Mytilus edulis: one gene and its partner. The protein of the gene in region 1 purifies or fractionates together with the protein of each later gene. This does not show direct contact. Links are inferred from orthologs where the notes say so. Each region holds a gene or a part of one and is shown in the gene's direction. Other genes may lie near its edges. The genes, in order: phosphatidylinositol polyphosphate 5-phosphatase type IV-like; retinal rod rhodopsin-sensitive cGMP 3',5'-cyclic phosphodiesterase subunit delta-like.

Region 1 (10,998 bases):
TTTGGTAAATTAAATGCCGTTTTTGATCTGAGATAAGCATACATGAATCAACACCATTGGTCGAGTTTCAGGAGGCCTTAAATATTATACATTTATACCAGTCGCTGGTATCTTTTTAAGATCAAAGTTAATAGAGTTTAATATTATGTTTGCCCTCAAACAATGTTAAACAGAAGAATTTAAATGGTATTTTAGTCTGCCATTTAATTGATTTAGATTATTTCACAAAAATTCAATTGCTGCGAATGCTAACAAACATTTAATTTATCTATCTGTTAGTCACATAATTAAATAAGGTGAAATGAAATTGTTCTATGCAGTGAGGGTCATTAGAAAATACTTAGTATGGCATAAATAGTTCGTCTAAACATCAGCCCAACAATGTTAGATCTGTAAATTTGCTTTCGCAATTTTATTGGTCTTCCCTCACCCAGATTCAAAACTCGCGCTACTGAGAGATCATGGCAGGCACTAGCACCAAATCACCTTGCACTGTATCTGATGTGCTAGACCACTTGACCACCTCTTGCACTGTATCCGATGTGCTAGACCACTTGACCACCTCTTGCACTGTATCCAATGTGCTAGACCACTTGACCACCTAGGCTCTACATACATGTGTTCATGAATAAAATAATATAATGTAAAACAATTGGTTTGTTTTTTTGTGTTTTAATAAGGCCATAAAAAAGAATAGGTTTGTTTGCCCAAACGCTACCTACCAAGAAAAAAGCTGCCTACTCAAATTCTTTTATTGTCCTGATTTGAAGAAGTTTTTTTTTAATCAGATAGGCATGAAGACTAATAAACACCCGATACTTCAATTTCTCTTTTTGAAAAAAAAAAGAAAATGCCTACCTACCTACCCACTGTCTAATCCTTTGGGTAGGGTTTGGTCAAATTGGACAAATCAAAATATTTTTAATTGTGGCCTCAACACCAATTTTAAGAACCGCATCTAGCCTATTTTGTGGTGGCCAGTTTTTATTGGTGGAAATTGGCCGGAGTGCCCGCAGAAAACCACGACCTTAGATAGGAAAACTGACAATCCTAGTCATTTAAGATTTGAGTTGAGGCATCTTCACCAACAGGGTTCAAACTCACAACTTCAGTGTTGACTGGCTAGTGATTACAGTATAACTATTAGACCACTCGGCCACCAAGGCCCCTTTAAAGAATATTGTATGGCATTTTCAATATCACACACCGTAAAGTAATTCGGATTATAGTCTATAGCGACAAGTCTGAAATATGTGTCTTGTGACATCATGAGACTGAAATCTATGTCCTTTTTTCAAGGTTGATTTTCAAATGGTTTCTGTTGTCAAGGAAAGGAGGGTAAAATACCATACCTAATAATGACTTCACGGTTCAGCTAGCAAGCAAGCTAACCAAAGATATAACCTTTGCCTACACAACCAATGCAATAGGCTGTAAATGCTACCCAATTTGTTTACCATGTCACACAACGATTTCTGTCTCCTTTACATACTGAAGAAAATCTACCCAAAATATTATATTGGTTTCTGAAAACTTTAACTGTATGGATGGGAGATAACTCTTTAAATAAATGAATTTATACCAATGTTTAACACTTTATACTGATTCTAGTTAAGTTTTCATTTCAATGTTTGGGTTCCCAAAAAATATATGCATCCTTCATTGTATCATAACAATTTAGGAAGAAATTGTCTGATGCATTTTCACATTTTTCTTAGGCATTTAATTTGCAAATCTAATAATTGCAACAAACATAGAAGGACATCAATCATTGTCCTATTCTAAATATTAACTTACATATTTGTACATGTTTAATTGTAGATCTACTGTTTGTCTATATTCCATTTACCAGACTACATGTAAATATTCTGTATGAATACATGTAAGTACAAATGCATGCATGGAATGCTAGTCAATGCTAGTACTTTTACTTTTAATATGTGCTGTCATGACTTGCAAATGTTCATGTTAATGTTGAAAGGTATACGTACAGAGTTAAGACTTTTATGTTTGCTCTATAATCATGATAATTTTGAGTTCTACATACACCTATGTATGTCATGTATGTAATTATATGTAGGACGTATGTAATTATATGTATGTGATTTATAAATTTTATCATGTATATATCTCTAGCTTTTTAAAGTAATAAATTAATCAAAACATTATTTGCACCTGAAGAGTCTCTTTGAATAAATTTAAAATATATATATTTATCAATTGAAAGGTTTCTCCCTGGTGTTACATGTAAACGTAAGGGTTTTTATAAGTGCACTTAGAATGTCACACAAAATTTTCAACTACTCTTATTCTCCCACAACTGTAAGCATTCTGAAGTAAGCTTTTAATCCTCTTATTTGCTTATAGATTCTTTTGTGTGAGAATTTGATTAAATAGATGAAAAATGGACTCTATCTGTCAAATCAAAAATAGATCAAGGTGAAAATTATTTAAACGCTTGTCATTTACTGAACATAATGCTTTATTACAATGTATGATTTATAGCGCATATATATGTATATATCATATATATATATATATGTACAGTGAATCATAATAATCTGGATTAAAAACAACCATGCCCTTATTCTGAATAATCCTATTTTGTATGAAGCTTTTGGAAAATTTTCATTTCATAATTACATCTTTGCAAAGGAAATAACAACAATGTTCTATTCTTTTAACAAACTATTTTTAAAACAAATATTAATAAATCACCTGTATCTATATTTTTGTAAATATAGAATACAATCATGACAATGTAGTTATTTCTAGCTTTTTTTTTCTTTCTCAGAAAACAGTCTGTAATTGCTCTGATTTTAAATATATATATACATGTACAGTGTATACGCATTTATTTTTACATTTATCATGTACATGTATATTACAGTATATATATATGGAGTAAAATTATATTGTTCTATGAATGATTAAACAGGCAAATTATATATAATTAGGGATCTGAAACTTTAATATGCATACATGTATATACAGATGTAAATCTTCATTTTTTAAACTTTATATAATTCTGTACAAGAATACTTTAAATAAAGGACTTTTATTTAATGTATGTAAATGCTTTGTAAGATTTTTCAGGGGCATCAAATTAACCATATATTTGAAAAAGCAAGTAAACCTATTCTGTAATTGATAACAATGACATCTGACAGTGGGTCATTCTTGCTTTTTATCAGATATCCACATCAAATGTTACTTTTTAAATGGATAAACTTGTCAATTTTCTTTAACATGTTTACCTTTCGTTTCTTGTATGCATGCTATTTTAGAAATTTGAGAATCTTTAAAGGTGAAAATAAAAATTGTAAAGGCTTTCAAAATTCAAATTGTAGATTTTCAGAATTGAATGACAAGTTTTTCCAATACACTTCTTTCATCAATTGTTAAATAGTTCTGATCGAAATCTATATGAAAAAGTTTTATCTGAATACTTCCTTAAGAATATATGTTAAACTGCTCAATGATACAAACCTATAATAAAAACATGAAAAGCAATAACCAAATGATCATTTTTTAAATCAATAGTTGTTCAAAAACTAATTTATATTTTCTCATAGTCATATACATACATTTTGTACTACAATATTACTGAGGGGGAGGACAGGGGATACCCTTCTCCCTTCTCCCACCTCTCTTCTCCTTTCTCCTACCCCTCTTCTCCTTACTTTTTTTTTTTAATTTACCGGAAAAAAGAGAGATATTTTATTTTTTCATATTTTATTTTTTTCTCCAACTTTTTCTCCTTTCTCCCAGCCTTCCTCTCCTTTCTCCTACCCCCTTTCTCCTTTCTCCCACCCTCTTTCTCCTTTCTCCTACTCCCTTTCTCCCTGTCTCCCTTACCCCTGTCCTCCCCCTCATTACTGTACAATGTACATTTGTACCTTGGCTGGTTTTTGAGACAGTTATATGTGTACATGTACAAATGTATGTAGAAAATGTCCAACAAGTCCTTCAAACATCAATTCAGAATTTAAAAAAATCATGTAAAGTAAAAGTGACAAACACATCATTTTCAACATGTTCAATACACAAAATATATGTACATGTATGTGTACATGAATGTCTTAAATACAATTTGTATCTAAAAACTGAATGTCATTTGATTTTTGATTTTTTTCTCAAAGACATACATGTACGTATACGTTCATGACATTCATTTGTAACTGAATATTTGAGGTAAATTAATGTTAAATTTTAAATGTATGATTATCATGATTATAGCTGAAGTTTTCACAATTAATATGCATGTAACAAGCCTTTAATTTTTGTCATTTTGAATTTGAAAGGAGAGTTAAAATGTAGAAGGACCAGAAACAAATTCCTTAATACATACATCATGTACATGTTATCTAGCAACAACCTGTAAAATAACATTGTATAAAGAATTTTTGTGGAAAAAAACTTGTATTGGGGTCAGTGGCCCAGTACATGTAGCTATAATATCATGGCGAACTTAAACAGTTTTGTACAGACTTGGCAATTTACTACCAACAGCTTTCTGATTACTGAGAACAACTTTTACTACCCATGAAGGACTTACAATGTACAATCTGTCTATTTTTACTAGCAAGATTCAATGTATTTATATACTTACACAGTAACTGTTTGAATGTTTTTATTGTGACCATTTGGTAGAGATGGCACAGTAACTTTGGTAGGTGCTTTTCCAGCTGATCTTTTTCCAGATGCTACTCTTGGTGTTTTAAATGAATCTCTTTCATGCTCACTTGAATTGTCGGATTCTGATTTCCATGCAATATTGTGCATCAATGCTTCCTTGGAAAGTTTATACTTATAGGCTAAACTAGCCACATCTTTGTGTTGGTGATGATTGTGTTTAGTGCAAGTATGAGAACTTGATGAATGAGGAATGGGGTTAGAATTAGATTGAGAACATTTACAAGCACCATTTGAGAGGGAGGTAGTTTCTCTACGTGTGTAACTAAAGGCTGCAGTAATGAGAGGCTGTGATGTTGAAACAGTATATGGTTGATTGCAATGGCTGCATATATTCTGACCAGAATTCTGTGAATAAATATTTCCTGATGCAGTGGTATTGTTTTGTGCACTTGTTATTGTTGCAGTATTTTGAACTGCTATTTTTCGGGGTTCATTGGATTCTTTTTGGGCTACTGTTTTAATTCCACTTAACTGAGAATTTTCTTCCCTATATTGTTCAATATATGATTGATGGTAAGGATAATGTTTGAACACGAAACTATTTTGAATCAAGTTTTTTAATCGTGTTTGTTCTCTCCATGAGTAAGTAATAGGTTGTGGAGTTGGCTTCTCCTTTTCCAGTTTGCGTAGAACACATTTTGAACTGCTAAACCATCCTGTCACATCCTCATTCCTGGTCACTTTAATAGTTTTTGGCACTTTTAATTCAGTGTTTCCTTTTGATTCAACCATGTAATCAGTCAGCCACAACTGATCATCAATTTCCAGCAATTTATTTTGAATCTGTCTATCCAAAAATATATTGAGATCATGATTTGAAGGGGATTTTGCTCCTCTAGCAGAGTTCATGGTTACTCAACTCACAGTTTTAAGTTTAATTTAAATATGATTTCTACTTTGTCATGACATTTCCTTTCATTCATCTCAAGTGTAAACCTAAATTGAAATAAAATAACAAGCAGTTTATCAATAACTTCCTTTTATCCATATATCCAATTGGAAAAGGTTGCTGCAGTCTCCTGACACATGTGCCCTTTCCTCCATTTTCAAACAATGATTGTTGGCATGAACATCCCTCTTGGCTGTTACTTTTTGTTTAACCTCCAAATTTAATTAATTATTTGTCAATTCTAGATTTCAAACACAATTTGCATTACGGAATAATTTAATCGTTTCCTCTTAAAAGATTGTTTTTAACAGAAGTCCAAAAGATTAATTAAAATGTAATTATCTTAAAACGAAAATAAGAGGGAGTGAATAGAACAGCATCGTAAATGTTTTGTTATGATTTGCAACATTAAAAAACTACGTATTTCATCATGAAATGTACAAAAAATGCAGTATTTACACTTTTGAGTGCAAAGTTATATCTTATATGCAATATTATTTCATTTCTTTTAACATTAATATTTTTGTACGACATTCCACCAGCAAACGCTTGACAGAATGGACATTTACCTTACCAGCAAACGCAACAGAGATTCTAAGTACCTTGCAAATATTACTGAGGCTGCGCACTGTGGATTGCATTCCAAGATGGTGGCTGCTGATATAAACAAATACACACGCCGGTAAATAAGCGTGTTTTATCACATTAATGCAACTTTTATATGATATTATCAGTTCTCTTACAGCCTTTGCCAATCAACGTTTTCTCTGTCAAATTACTCAGAATCTATAATGGCATATATAAATCTCAGATGCTGATTCTGAATTTATACAGTTGCTATGGTTTACTCGGGGTAAATAATAATCAAGAATAATGATTAACTGTGGTTTCTGAATTAATCATACATCCGCATAACAACTTTAGTTGTTAAGAAAACACACTATCTATGTTCAATAATGCATGAATTTGATATGCAGTAAGTAAAGAAGGTAAACATGTAAACATGGATGTGTTACCCAAATTTCACACACAACTTTTATATTCACATACTGATAATCACTGCTGTAACAGTTTTTCTGTCAATACAAGTAAGTTGATATGAGGCATATACACAGGCACTTGTCTCAGAAAAAATTTCCTATATACCTTATTATAACACAAGGTACTTAACTAGCATTTTAGAAAAATGTCGGGTGGTGACGAAGTTCCGTTATATGCCGCTTTATAGGCTGTTAACCCCACTAAAACTTGTTATATCGTAAATCTAAATTGATTTATCTTTACAATGGTGTATAAAATGCCTACATTTGTTGTCGGAATCATCCGTATCAATCCTACCAAAGTATGTCAATCATAATAATTTTGCAAACCGCTGAAGAATTGGCAATAAACGCGTCACGTCTCCTTGTATATCTCGGTTTCCGATTGGTCAATTCTATGGGAAAGTCTAAATGATTCTCGGAGTTATCTCTGATCTTGTTTCATTTCATACGTAAAGTCAAAAGAGAGTCTGCAAGACATTGACGTCATGGAAAAATTTGTAACTTAGTCTTAAGTCTTTAGTAAGTGTCCCAAATGACACTGTAAACACTTGTGTACGTTTCCTCTTTTGTAGTTTCTTCACATATGTAATGTTCACTCATGTACTTAATTGAAATTGTGGCTGCTGCTTAAAAAATTTTGACTTAATTTTGATATAGATTTATAGTGTTTTTTGCTGTATAGTGTTTTTGAATCTACCAGACTCCGTTAAATAATTTTCCAGATGGCACAATATCTCATTTCGATTGTCTCTATTAATGTCTTCTTCATCGATTCCTAATAAGGTGTCTAAATCCATGTGTATATTTCCTGTAATAAAGTAAATAGATGTTCTCATCCTCTCTCTAGCCTCCTCATAGTTAGAACAATGTAAAAGTTCGTGTTCTACAGTTTCTGGCTCTCCACAGGAACAGTTTTTGTCTGATGATGGTATAATTTTGGATTTATAATCATTTAGATCACAATAACCTGTTCTCAAACTAGTTGTAATTGAAAACGACCATTTGGATGGTAAATCTTTTGGTATTTTCTGACATACTTTTTGATGATAGTTGTAATAATTTCTGCCACGTTGACTTGATTCCCATTGGTTCTGCCATTTTCTTAAAACACTTTCTCTTGCTGCACGTTTTATATCCTGCCTGGTTACTTCTGATGGTTCTTCTATTTTTTCAGCTTCTTTAGCTCCTTTTTTGGCCAGTGAATCAGCAATGTCATTTCCTTGGATATCAGCATGACCAGGTGTCCATTCAAAATTTAATGGAATTCCATTCATCTTTAATACTTTCATGTTTTTCTTAATTTCTCTTATGACTTTGATGTAATTCTCTGATTTCCAGTTTAAAGTTAAAATTCCAATTGAGGTCTGACTATCTGAAAAAAGTGTAATTAGACATACCACAAACAACACTTGTTAGATTTTTTTCATGGTATATTATATAATTTTACTAACTGTATGATAAGTTCTATTCATACGAAAACTAACAGGTTTTTTTTAAAACAATTTTTATAATATATCATTTACTGCGGACGTGTATTGCCAATTCTTCAGCGGTTTGCAAAATTATTACGATTGACATACTTTGGTAGGATTGATACGGATGATTCCGACAACAAATATAGGCATGTTATACACCATTGTAAAGATAAATCAATTTAGATTTACGATATAACAAGTTTTAGTGGGGTTGACAGCCTATAAAGCGGCATATAACGGAACTTCGTCACAACCTGACATTTTTCTAAAATGCAAGTTAAGTACCTTGTGTTATAATAAGGTATAGGAAATTTTTTTCTGAGACAAGTGCCTGTGGGCATATACTCTGAAAATGTGTGATAGTGGTAGTTTACATTTGCATTGAAAATTTCAACACTGAACAGTAAAATCACATCTTTCAGCATGGCTTGGGAAGAACTCTATATTTTGAACATCTGGATAATTAACATGTGCTTCTAGATACATTTGTAACTCAACCTGAGACAAGCTTAAACTCTAAACAATGGATCTATAGATTTTTATATCTAGAAATCTATAATTTAATAAAGTGAAACAATAATTGCCTTTATTTCATAATTTTGTTTTCTGTTTTGCTTTTTATTTTGTTTTTATTTTTCTTCAATTTTTAAATAAGTTGATCTATGAACTCACAAAATGATGATAACAATTTCAAAAAAAAGTATAAAATTATTTAAAATATCTAGGCATTTCGCTTTTTTCTTATCTCAAATAGAACAATAAAAAAAATATATATTATTACATTGGTTGCAATGAATACATTGATTTCCCAGTTAGATAAAAACCGATAATTTCACATGTGAAATAAACGCGGTTATTTCACTCTCTGACGTCATACAACAATAGGCGTTGTCAAGACGTCGTTAACGTCGGATCAAAACAAATTGTCAATGCGTAGGAAAAAGATATAGTTCCTTACATTTTCTACATTAATTTTATAAAAAAAAGCCATTTGCCAATGTAATAAAAAGAATAACTAATCGCCGTATTTGAATATCAAAAATAAGACAACTTGTGACCGAACGCCGCTATGGACTAAAGTCCTGCTGCGCACTCGTTTAATCCATGCGTCGTTCGGTCACGCGTTGTCTTATTTTTGATATTCAAATACGGCGATTAGTTATACTATAAATAATTAACACCAACAGCAAAAGCAAATTAATCATTATCATTCATCAGGCAAACAAAAAAGAGCTTACCAAACTATCTTAGACCAAAAATGAGAATATTGTTGCAGAGTTTGGGATCAACACACTTTTGCAAAAATAAATAGCCTGGAACAACTGCAAAGAAGAGCTGCAACAGATATCATAACTCCAGCAGTGTACATGCTAAATGATTTAAACTGACCTAGCTTAATTGTAAGAACACTGATTAAAAATAGTCTTATACAAAGAAAAACCAATACCATCCCAAGATGTTATCATATTAGAAGCCAATCTAAAAGTAAAAAAAACAAAATAAACTGTCAATAAACAAACTTGCATGTTTTTCACAAGCAAATTTTCTTACAATGTGTTTGCAATTTTTTTTATTAGTTTTCATGTGTGAAGAAGTTTCCTGAAATTGATAAAAGCTAGGTGGATCTGTTTATTTCTTTTTTTAGCTCACCTTCAGTCTGCACGGTTAGCCACTAGTCCGATGCCCCAGACTAGTAAAATTTTATTCGGACTAGTAAGTTTTTGCAAAATTTTGTTTGGACCAATAAGAAAAATGTCAGGATATTGGTCTTCGGACACGTAGTTGAAAAAGTTTTTGGTGCAGACTGCACCTTTCCTAAAAGGAAATGTGAGCTTTTGCCATCACTTGGCGTCCGTCGTCGTAAACTATTTCAAAGATCTTCTCCTCTGAAACTACTGAACAAATTCAAACCAAACTTCATCTGATTGATTCCTAGGGTATCTAGAATAAAGTTTGTGTTTTAATTCCCATTTCATCAAAAAACATGGCCGCCATGGCTAAAAATAGAACATAGGGGTAAAATGCAGTTTTTGGCTTATAACTCAAAGAGTCTGACCATTGAATAGAAGTCTTTAAAATTTGATAGATAAGACCAAGTTTTTTTAATTTGTTGGTTTATGATTTTTTACATGAAAAAGTCAGGTCGGTTAAAAAAAGGAGAAAACAAATCTTTCAAGACAGAACAGTGTATTTCCACTTACTAACACTATGTTTGGTACACTATTTTGTCATCATTTCTTAAATTTTAGTTCCATGGAATATTATTGCTCAGCTGTTATAAACACAAAATGCATGCCATTGTCATACAATTTCAGCATACGAGGGTTACATGTATGTCTACAAGCAAAGACAAATTAAATCATTTGAAAAAAAACCCTGGCCTAAACATTGATTTGACTTGATAATGACCAGTGACAAATATGTCATGCACATTCAAGACAATTAAAATTTGAACTACATGTATGAATAAACAGAAATTTTAATTTAAAAAAATATGTGTTTTAGATGATGTTTGTGACAAATGCTACCAGAAGTTGATATGGCAAAAAGAATGTACCATGGAAAGCCATGATGTCATAGAAAAGGAGAAAACAGAAACAAAACCTCCAGCCAGCAAATCAAAGAAAATAAAAAAGAAAAGTGCCATTGCAAAACTAACTGAAAAAAGAAGAATATCAGAATCTGGAAGTGAATTTGGATCAGCAGCATCATTACGATCAAACACTAGTAAAATATTGCCAGATAAAAATTTACAAGCAGAAAATATCAATCTTGATAAAAAGGGAGATAAATTAAAATTAGAGGCAGATAAGAAAGATATTGAAATTTCTAATTTGAAAAAGGGAGATAAACCTTCAAAATTAAAAGTTGAAATAAAAGACAATTTGTTACA
Region 2 (10,361 bases), on another chromosome or scaffold:
AGACATTTATTTTGTTGTGGAATTTGTGGATAAAGTGAACTACTGAAATTGAATTTTCTTAAGAATTGAATGGATAATTCCCCAAAACCACTACAAATAACATGTTTGAAATAATCAATACCTCCTTTCTCAAATTTGTTTCAAATTCATCAGTAATTTATTTCCCTTGTCAGATGAGATCTGGATTTATCAACAAGTAATGCCTTTTATAAGTTGTGTTTCACTTACCAGATGATTGACAAATTTTTATGGTATGTTAGATGCATGTATATTTGAATAAACAATTCTTGTGTGATTTGATCTCTGATATTTGAATCTTTCTAAATGCATATGTGATAATTTCAGTACAAAATTTCACTGGATCATACCTCTCTCAGGTGTATATTTCAATTAACAATTTTTGTGTGTTTGGTATACGATATTTCAATCTTTCTAATTTGCATATTTGATAATTTTACTGGTTCCTACCTCTCTCAGGTGTGTATTTGAATTCCGCTTCTTCTATTTCTCTCATTTCCTGAAGTAATCCACCCATGTGGAATGTCTGTGGAGCCATCGTAATTCTTTGACTAGACAGAAACTCATCAACTAACTGTACAAAATAACAAAACACAATTAACTGAATTAAGGTGGTACATAACACTAAGGGAGATAATTCTATTTAAATCAGCTGAAAATTTTAATCATGTTCTATTGAAAAGGAAATAGAAAGCTTCTCAAAATTAGCATGTAAAACTAATATATATAGTTTTATTTATTTAAAACATATTTATTTATAGTGGAATTGGAAACAAGTTTTGCAACTTATATTAATTCCTTTCCACTTTGCGGATGTGAGTGCTGCCTTGTAGCGGCATTAGCCTGCTCTTTTTGGAAATCTACAAGGGTGTCTTTAACGTGCGAGAGATATGGCTCTCTCTTAATACGGGTCAGCCATTTAATGCCCCATTCTGACGGACTATCATCGTTTCCTCAAGACCAAACTCGCAAATAGTGTCAGCTAGGGAGAGCCGAAAATTCAGTCTATACAATAAAATTCTTTCGATAAACTATATTCTCTGAACTGCAATTAACCAAAGAATTTCTAATGCTTATGGTATTTTTAAATATGATGCAATTCTGTGTATTAGAAATTTTTCCGTTTAATTTTCCATTTTGTAAGTCACGTAAACATTTCACTGTCCTTTTAAATGTTGTATAACATGTAATAGGCTGTGAACAGTGTAAAATGAACACAGCATATATCTTATAGCCCATTCCAAGTCCCAAACCTTAAACAAAACTTGATGAGAAAAAAAAACCTGATAAGCCATTCTCATTGGAGAATCCAGGGGGGTTCCAATGTTTGAAACCCCCTTTTGAATAAGACTTAATCCACACTTGATACTTCATATCTAATTACCTCATTTTCTGTTGACTGTCCTATTGGTCTGCCAGGCTGCAAAATATACAGTATTTACTTCATGCTAAATATGATTTATCAATGTACTGATCATTAAATTTGAACACAAATCTTTATTAAATTTAACTCTTTTAACAGACTGAAAAATTAATGTTATAGATAATTCAAATTGATAAGAAAGGGGAGGAAAACGTGACAAATTGTACAAGATAAACATTCAAATTTCAATTTGGAACCTCATTTCTTATTCGAAGAAAGCATATATATATAGAATGGAATAAATGTATGAAGTATGATTACTTATTTTTAATTCATCTAAGATGTCTTAACACAATCTATGGTAATAAGATATATATCTAAATCTCAAAAACGTAACCAAATCAGTGTTGTCTTTTTCAATATTCATTGAAGACCTATTGGTGACCTTCTGCTGTTGTCTTTTCTACAGTCGGGTTGTTGTCTCTTTGGCACATTCCCCATTTCCATTCTCAATTTTATTCCTTATATCATGTATACAGTTTGATTTGTTGCTAAGTTGATAAAACTTTTGTTCATTTGGTCTCTTGTGGATAGTTGTCTATTACCAAATCCTCCTACATATATATTGACATTTGTTAAAAGTAAAATCACAAAGATACTGAACTTTGAGGAAAACCAATTCAGTATTAAAAGACTTTATTCTAGATAATACTACCATTTGCTGTGGGTGCTGGACTCTTCCATGACTGAAGTTTTCCTGTAAGTAAATTTTTTTTTTCTAAATATTTTACAAAGTAGAAATAACTAAAAAGCATGATAGTCTGAGATTACTCTGACCTCCAAGGGCTGTTTTGTCAGACAATTACAGCATGTACAGACAATCATGACAAAGACAGATGCAAAATGTTCATCGTTACTACATAGACCTTTTAGTATGTTCGAATTAAAGAACTTATTTAAATACATATTTAGAAACCATCACTTCAACTGTTAACTAACATTTTTTCAGTTTTAATTATTTAGTTATTTGCTATACAAGAACATTGTAATAACTTAAATAAGAAATATGTTGCAATACAATACTTTTAAGATCAGTCTTCAGCTGATATATATATATATGCAAGTACATATACCTGTCGTAATCCTCTATCCTGTGTGAAATGTGACGTCAATTTCATTAGTGAATTAGAGCCTCCACATTCCCCCTCCACCAAATTTCTCATAGCCATTTTGTAGGTTAAAAATCTGAAAAGTATTAATTAAAATTAATTTTACTAGCATAGTCGTGATATTTAAAATCAAATACACATGGCAAAAGTCTATCTAAAATTACAATAGAATATTAGAAATATCACCATGCCATCCCGTTATTGAACATGTTGAAGCCTCAATTGCTTTCAGCAGGGTTCTTCCTAAGGCGAGTCCATGAGTCCTGAACTCATCAAAATCTGTCTGGACTCACCATTTTTAAAACTGGTGAGTCCACAGAAGCATCAAGATTGAAATATTTTGTATAAACTTAACACAGTTAAACACAAATGTCATCATTTTATAGCAAAAGTTTAAAAGTGATATGAATTCAATGTCATTTCATTGCTCTGTTAGGAAATGGAGACTAAAATATTACATTGTATTGCAATAAAATATTTTCTTCTTGCTGTTGGACTCATCATGGCTAAAAATGAAGAGCCCCTGGACTCGCCTTCAAAAATCCTTAGCGAGAACCCTGAGTGCATGAGAGTCATGTCAACAAATGGGTAATTAAGTGATGTGGGTTCTAAAATACAATCTACATTAGTTTTAAGACTCTCAATAAGTATGATGAGTATGATAAGATCCTTCTGAAATTCGCTTCCCTTTCTTATCACTTCTTAGTAAATATATATAACATGTAACATAATGTCTGTTACTAATTTGATTTTTGATATTTTTTCAAACATATGTGACATGTTTTACAAACAATGTACATTTGTATGATAATCATGATGATGCATGCTAGTCATTTGTTATAATGTTTACAAGTTTTTTCAAAATATAAAGGAAAAAAAGAAAAAAATACTTTAATCATGTTAATATACATACATTTTTGTATGTAGCATAATCATCATTATACAACTTATAATAAAACAATATCATTTCATGCATTTAACTGAATGAAATAATTCACATTAATGAAATCAAGCAACGGTTAATTTTCATCCACAATATTTATTTACTTTTTTTATGTGGTGAATTAATTAATCATGTAAATTAAAATACATAAATAATGACAACTGGGGTTTCTGTCATGTGTTATTTTGAAACTTAATGAGGTGAGCGTGTAAATTAACTCTCAAGTGGGGCAAGTTAGCAGAATTTAACTGTATCCTCGATTATTGGAAGTTCGATACCCTTACTTGAAAAAAGATAGAAAAAATCAGAACCTTGGAGCACATGTTATCCACTATGAAAATGTAAGACTGATGAATGGAAATATTCTTCACTTATTTGCAAACATTCTGATAAACTTTATTGATGAAAAGTTTCAATCAGTGGCATAGAATTTAATATCTATAGGATTATAAACACATTTTTTCTATAGGTTATTGATGTGTAGGATTGCTACGGATGATATTGACAACAAAAGTAGGCGTGTTATACACCATTGCCTTAAATGATTTTTCCCAGGTTTGCTCATTATTTTTTTTTTGTTAGAGTTCAATGTTTCATCTCATTAATTTAACAAAGAAACTGACTGCACACAGATCTTAAGTAATTGTGCAAGGCCTTCAAAGATTGCTCCTTGGGGCTTGTATAAATAAGCAGTGTTTGAGGATAACAGACAAATGGGATTTTCATTGTCCATGAAATTACACTTAAATGATAAGTAAAGACATCTGCAAAGGGCAGATAATTTAAAATTCTATTAGAGCAAAGAAATCATAAGAATTCAATAAAAGAAGATAGGATGACTTTTTTACATCTACAAGTAAAAAAAACTAAATGTCTAAGGGACAAAACTCAGGCAATATCTTTTTTTACCAAAATAAGTAAAAAAAAATTCACTTGTATAAGTATCCAGCAAATTTACCTATATAAGAATATTAATATTACTTCTTCAAGTAATTAAAAATAACTTGTACAAGTAATACCCCTGACTGTCCTAGTCCAAATAATCATGAAGTCTTGAAAGGCTATTATATTTTTTTTCTGTGACGCATCGTCGATGTAAGGTGTCAAAGAAAAAAAATATAATAGCCTTTCAAGACGTCATAATTATTTGGACTAATAATCCCCAAGCTGTCATGATCAGAGTTAGCTGCGGAAACCGTAGCTCTTAGGTCCTTATGTTATTTTTTGACTATTTGCGGACCGTCCGCAAATAGTCAAAAAATAACATAAGGACCTAAGAGCTACAGTTCCGCAGCTAGATCAGAGTCAATGGTAGATTGGTAGTCCAAATAATTATGACATCTTGGAAGGCTATTTTAAATGTTTGCTTTGATGCCTTCCTTTGACAAAAAAAAATATAATAGACTTTCAAGATGTCATAATTATTTGGACTAAGTCAATGCTAGCTATATGCACTATCCATGTATCATGAAAATTATCTACAAGTCGTGAACAGGTGAAGAGGAGGACTTGCATAAATTTCATAAATGAAGTTACCACAACCATAGAAAAAGAAGGATTCAATACAGAAAGTACATTTATATTCGCTGAACAGCAATATATATTTACATATGGTTTCCTTCACGTTCTTAGAGTTAACTATGATTTTGAGAAACACAGGTCAGTCCATCGTCCCACATAAGCCGAACAACATCGTTCATTGAAAACAGGACGCTTTCCGGTAAGTGCGAGAAATAGGTCTAATGATACTAATTTTCAACCTGGTTACTTTCTTTACTAAATATATTCACTGAATTGGATTAAAAATTAAGAAAATTGATGCAAATTAAAGAGTTCGGTATACAATTGACCATTATAACCAACACGATCATACAAACATTCACTTGATACAGATTGTCGCGTAGGAAAATTTAACGAACTACTTCTAAATTGTTGACATTGGAGAATCGTGAAATAGAACCAGACTAGTTTTGATAAAACACAATTATAAATCAATATGCCATCAAAAGCAGAGGACATAATGAAAGGATTCAAACTGTATCCTTAATCAAGATAACTGTACATATATTCACATCAATTATGTTTACAAATTTCCAAATCTATCATCGGCGTCTAGAGACATCCTGATTTGTGACATTTACATTAAATTATGTGACATGCAAATTTAAATTCCTTTGCTCGACCTTTTCTACATGTATATATCTACAGCTTTACTTTATGACATCATGTCATCCCTTTGTTCTCCAGATTCTGTTGTCACAGTCAGACACAGTTTATATGTGTTAAAACTTGGGACACTGTTGAAGACCGTGTAAATTATAATATTATACACTCTATTACTATTTAGAAATAGGTGCTGCTTGACTTGAGCATCTGTGTCTCTTGGACTATTGGCTTCATACAATAATCTTGCCCAACTGTAAGGTCTCTGCCCCGAGTCCTGAATCTTTCAAGGCTCAGCTCCGTCAGTAATTAAATTGACATGTTTTTATTTGCACTTGTATATAAAATTCACCTAGTTTTTGTTTTTGTTAAATTAAAATTTTTTCATACATGCGCGCACTCCATAAATGTGGCAGAATAGTCAACCAGTTGACGGTGGCCGCTTACTGGAAGAAGAAGAAGAAGATCACATTTTGGGAATGGTCAACCTTTGTGTAGTATTGAATGTTTAGTAAGAAGTGTCATTTAACATCTTCAAAATGCATTGCCCCACACCTAACCGCCCCACTTTTTCACCAACTCGACCGACTTTTTAAAAAGTTGTCCCAAACTGGTTTACCAACTGGACCCACTTTTAAAAAAATAGCCCCACTTACAGTCAGAGCTCTGACATAAACAAGTCAGAATAAAATGACTTCTTCAAGTCAGAAAATGTTTTGACATTCTGACCTGTACGGGTCAATTTTTGTTTTGCGTAGTTTTCCATCGAGTCCGTCAAACCAGAAGATATTTTGAATTTGCCGCCGATCTAAGACACATACGATCACGTGGTTTTTTGCGAGAGATCACGTGTTTGAGAGTTGTTGTTTTGGGAGTTTCTCGAACGAGAAGTTATTGAAAATATAGTGATTATTTACGTTTTTTTATTGAAAATCTAGGTCAATGTGGTCATTTTCAGAAGGTAATACATATTACCTCCGTATTTTCATGGCCATTTTAATATTTTTTGCGTGTGAAGAAGGTCTTTGCAAGTGATTTTGTTGCTGTTTCATGAAGGCGCGTGACCTGTAAATACGGACGCGTAGCCTTTGAGATGACCTGGTGTCTGACAATTCTGACTTGTTCAGGTCAGAAAATGTTGTTATGATAATGAACTGTTATTTTCGGGAGACAACTCGTGTTGTCTTAAACAGTATTAACATTAATAACCAGTCAGTGCAATTTTAAAAGTAAAATTATTGCTTCGAGCTGAACATCATCACGTGATTTTTCTATTTTTAAACTCAATCATGAATTGACTTTTTAACCTTTCCGAGTTTGCGGCTTATAAATATATTTGTTTTTTCGTTTCTCCCAATGAGAAAAACGATCTTTTGAATATTGATATTAATGAAAATGAAATGAAATCGGAATAATTTTAATAAAGGAAAAGGGAAGGGAGGGTTTAACTAAAAGAACCGAAATATTTTTTTATTTTTATTTTAAAAATGATTTTAACTTGAGAACATTATAAAGAGATTCACAAAACGGGTTTTTCAATTATGAACATGGAATATGATCTTAAAAACAAATCAAATGAAATGTAGGGTAAGGCTCCAGTGATCACCCTACCCCTGTCATTTGACAATGTTGAACAGTCGAGATCCCTGCCCCCTTAACTCAATTTTTTCTCTCTGTAAAGTATAATGAAATATACCAAGCTAGTCTCTATGGGTCGCCCCACCCCTTGTCATTTGAGAATGATCTTATATCTTGAAAATTGTCGAGATCCCCACCTGTAAACAGCCATATATATTCCTTTTTATAATGTCAAATTGATTTGAATGAAATATACCGGGCTAGTCTCTGGGTTTACCCCCTCCCCTGCCATTTGCGAATGTTCTTATATTTTGTAAACGGTCGAGATCCCCACCCCTAAACTATATATATTCTTGTATGGGAAAATAAAACAAACCCAATGTAATATAGGGGAAGTCCCTTGGGGGGGGGGGGGTTGCCCCTACAGTGTGAAAACATGTAAATGGTCAAGATCCCCACCCCTGAACCATATATATTAGTGTAAGGGACAACAAGACAAATCAAATGAAATAAAGATAAAGTCCCTTGGGGTCACCCCACCCCCTCATGTTTGAAAACATGTAAACGGTTGAGATCCCCACCCCTTAAGCCTATATATTATTATATGGGACAATACAACAAATCAAATGAAATAAAGGGAAAGTCCATGGGGGTCATCCCCATCCCCCTTTTTGAAATGGTCTGGATCACCACCCCTAAACCATATAATATTCCTGTTCGTCATTTCAAGAAGATTTGAATGACATACATGTACAGGGTCAATCCCTAATTATATGGCATATATGTTTTCCTATGAAGTTACACATCTATAATTCTTACCCCAGATGCTTAGCCACATAAAGCATTAACCTTTTATTTGAAATATAGATAGTCTTTGTTTCTACAGAAGTGAGAAGAACATTGGAAGTCAGTATGTTCTGACTTATAAAAGTCTGAATGTTCTGACTTATGAAAGTCAGAATGTTCTGACTTATGAAAGTCTGAATGTTCTGACTTATGAAAGTCTGAATGTTCTGACTTTAATTTAATAAGGCCAGAAAGACTCAGAATAATCTGAAGATAATGACTTGTTTTTAATGTTTAGAGTATTTAAGAATATGAATGCTCTTGTCATGCTAGTACCATAAGAAACCCTGACAAGATTTTGTTCCCAAAAAAATATATATTAAGAATAACAAGTGTACAATTGAACATAAATTACAAAGTTATAAATGTTGCTAAAAATTCTATTTAAAAAACACCCAATAGATAGTTGTAGTGAAAATATTATGTATTTATATGTACCACTTCTTGAAGGACAACAAAGTCACCAAACTTAGTCTGATTTTCATAGTATTTTCTCCTCAACATTTTTTTAACAGAACATGATTTGACCTGTTTAAGTCAGTTTACAGAAAAAGAATCCGATCAAACTAGGTTTCTTCATCTTAGCCCCCCCCCCCTTTTTTTTCTCGTTATCTGAATCTGCTATTGTTGGGATAATTAATTTTTTTTAAGAAACAATTCAGTCAAATGGTTTTTAGAATAATGATTTTTTACAACCAAAAGTTCTATATGTTAACTTTACAGAAAAAAAAGTCATGAAAATACAGAAATAAAATAAATTTTTAAGATATAAATTTGATGAAATTTGTTAAAAAAAATACATTTGAATATAAAATATACCAAATACATTTTTTTTTATAGTCCTCAATATTGTGACTTGAGGGGACCATATTTCATCAGTCTTTTATCTGGTTTGTCATACATTTTAAAATCAATATGAAAATCCTAGACTTAAAAGTCGACATAAGTTTAGTTTTGACTGACTCTCTGAAGTCAGAACATGATTTGACCTGTTTAAGAAGTCAGTTTACAGAGAAAATTAAATCCAATCAAAACTAGGTCTTCTTCTTCTAAGCCCCCCCCCCCCCTTTTTCCCTTTTATCTGAATCTGCTACTGTTGAGTTAATTAATTGATAAGTTTATTAGAAACAATTCAGTCAAATGGTATGAAATAATATATTTTACAACCAAAAGTTCCATGTGTTAACTTAACAGAAAAGAAAGGTCATGAAAATACAGAAATATAATAAAATTTAAAGATGATTTGATGAAATTTGTAAACAAAATATATTTGAATATAAAATATTAGTTCTCATTATTGTGACTTTATTATTGGGTGTCTTTTATCTGATTTTCCCATACGTTCTTAAATGCATATATTTATGACAATGCCGGACTTAACAGTTGTAATAATAAGTTAAAGTGAAGTTTTTGACTGACTCTTTGAAGTCAGAACATAATTTGACCAGTTTAAAACAAAATACATTTAAATATTGAATAATCAATATGCAAAATAAACTTTTTTATAGTCCTCATTAATTATTGCGCTGTATGGGGACCTTATTTCCACTGTCTTTTATTTGGCTTTTCCGTACATTTTTAAATCAATACGAAGAAACTAGACTTAAAAGTTGACATAAGTTTAGATGGGACTGACTTTTTGAAGTCAGAACACTATTTGACCTGTTAAAGTCAGTTGACAGGAAAAAATGTCCAATCAAAGTTAGGTTTTCTTCCTCTAATCCCCCTCCCCACTAAATATCAATCTGCTACTGTTGAGTTAATTAATTACTGATTTTTTTTTAGAAACAATTCAGTCAAATGGTTATTAAAATATAATTTTTTTTTGCAACCACAATTAAGTTCCATGTGTTAACTTAACAGAAAAGAAAAGTCATGAAAATACAGAAATAATACAATATTTTTTTTTTTTTTTTAGATAATTTGATGAAAATCTTTAAAAAACAAAATGCATTTGAATATTGAATATATCAAATAAAAATGTTCCATACATTTTAAATCAATATGAAAATCCTGGACTTAAAAGTTGAAATAAGTTTAGTTTTGACAGACTCTTTGAAGTCAGAACATGATTTGACCTGTTAAAGTCAGTTTACAGAAAAAAAAATCCAATCAAACTATGTTTCTTCATCTTAGCCCCCCCCCCCCTTTTCCCTTATTTGAATCTGCTACTGTTGAGTTAAAAAAAATTAAGAAACAATTCAGTCAAATGGTTTTTAGAATAATGTTTTTTACAACCAAAAGTTCTATTTGTTAACTTAACAGAAAAATAGTCATGAAA

What was found.
Region 2: the proteins of phosphatidylinositol polyphosphate 5-phosphatase type IV-like (region 1) and retinal rod rhodopsin-sensitive cGMP 3',5'-cyclic phosphodiesterase subunit delta-like purify together in Homo sapiens (affinity purification with mass spectrometry; 3 studies listed by BioGRID and IntAct, with this or other methods). This does not show direct contact. The link is inferred for Mytilus edulis from reciprocal best matches to the Homo sapiens genes INPP5E and PDE6D.

Annotation. Positions count from the first base shown.
Region 1 is NC_092345.1:8,935,178-8,946,175, forward strand, and holds the start of phosphatidylinositol polyphosphate 5-phosphatase type IV-like, read left to right. Parts: upstream 1-6,447; 5' UTR 6,448-6,590; coding exon 6,591-6,675; intron 6,676-10,610; coding exon 10,611-10,998. Other genes in the region: uncharacterized protein, read right to left, coding at 4,613-5,547. UniProt on the Homo sapiens protein: Phosphatidylinositol (PtdIns) phosphatase that specifically hydrolyzes the 5-phosphate of phosphatidylinositol-3,4,5-trisphosphate (PtdIns(3,4,5)P3), phosphatidylinositol 4,5-bisphosphate (PtdIns(4,5)P2) and phosphatidylinositol 3,5-bisphosphate (PtdIns(3,5)P2).
Region 2 is NC_092356.1:54,304,094-54,314,454, reverse strand, and holds the start of retinal rod rhodopsin-sensitive cGMP 3',5'-cyclic phosphodiesterase subunit delta-like, read left to right. Parts: upstream 1-5,177; 5' UTR 5,178-5,489; coding exon 5,490-5,530; intron 5,531-10,361. Other genes in the region: peroxisomal targeting signal 1 receptor-like, read right to left, coding at 469-592, 1,403-1,438, 2,097-2,138, 2,515-2,610. UniProt on the Homo sapiens protein: Promotes the release of prenylated target proteins from cellular membranes. Modulates the activity of prenylated or palmitoylated Ras family members by regulating their subcellular location.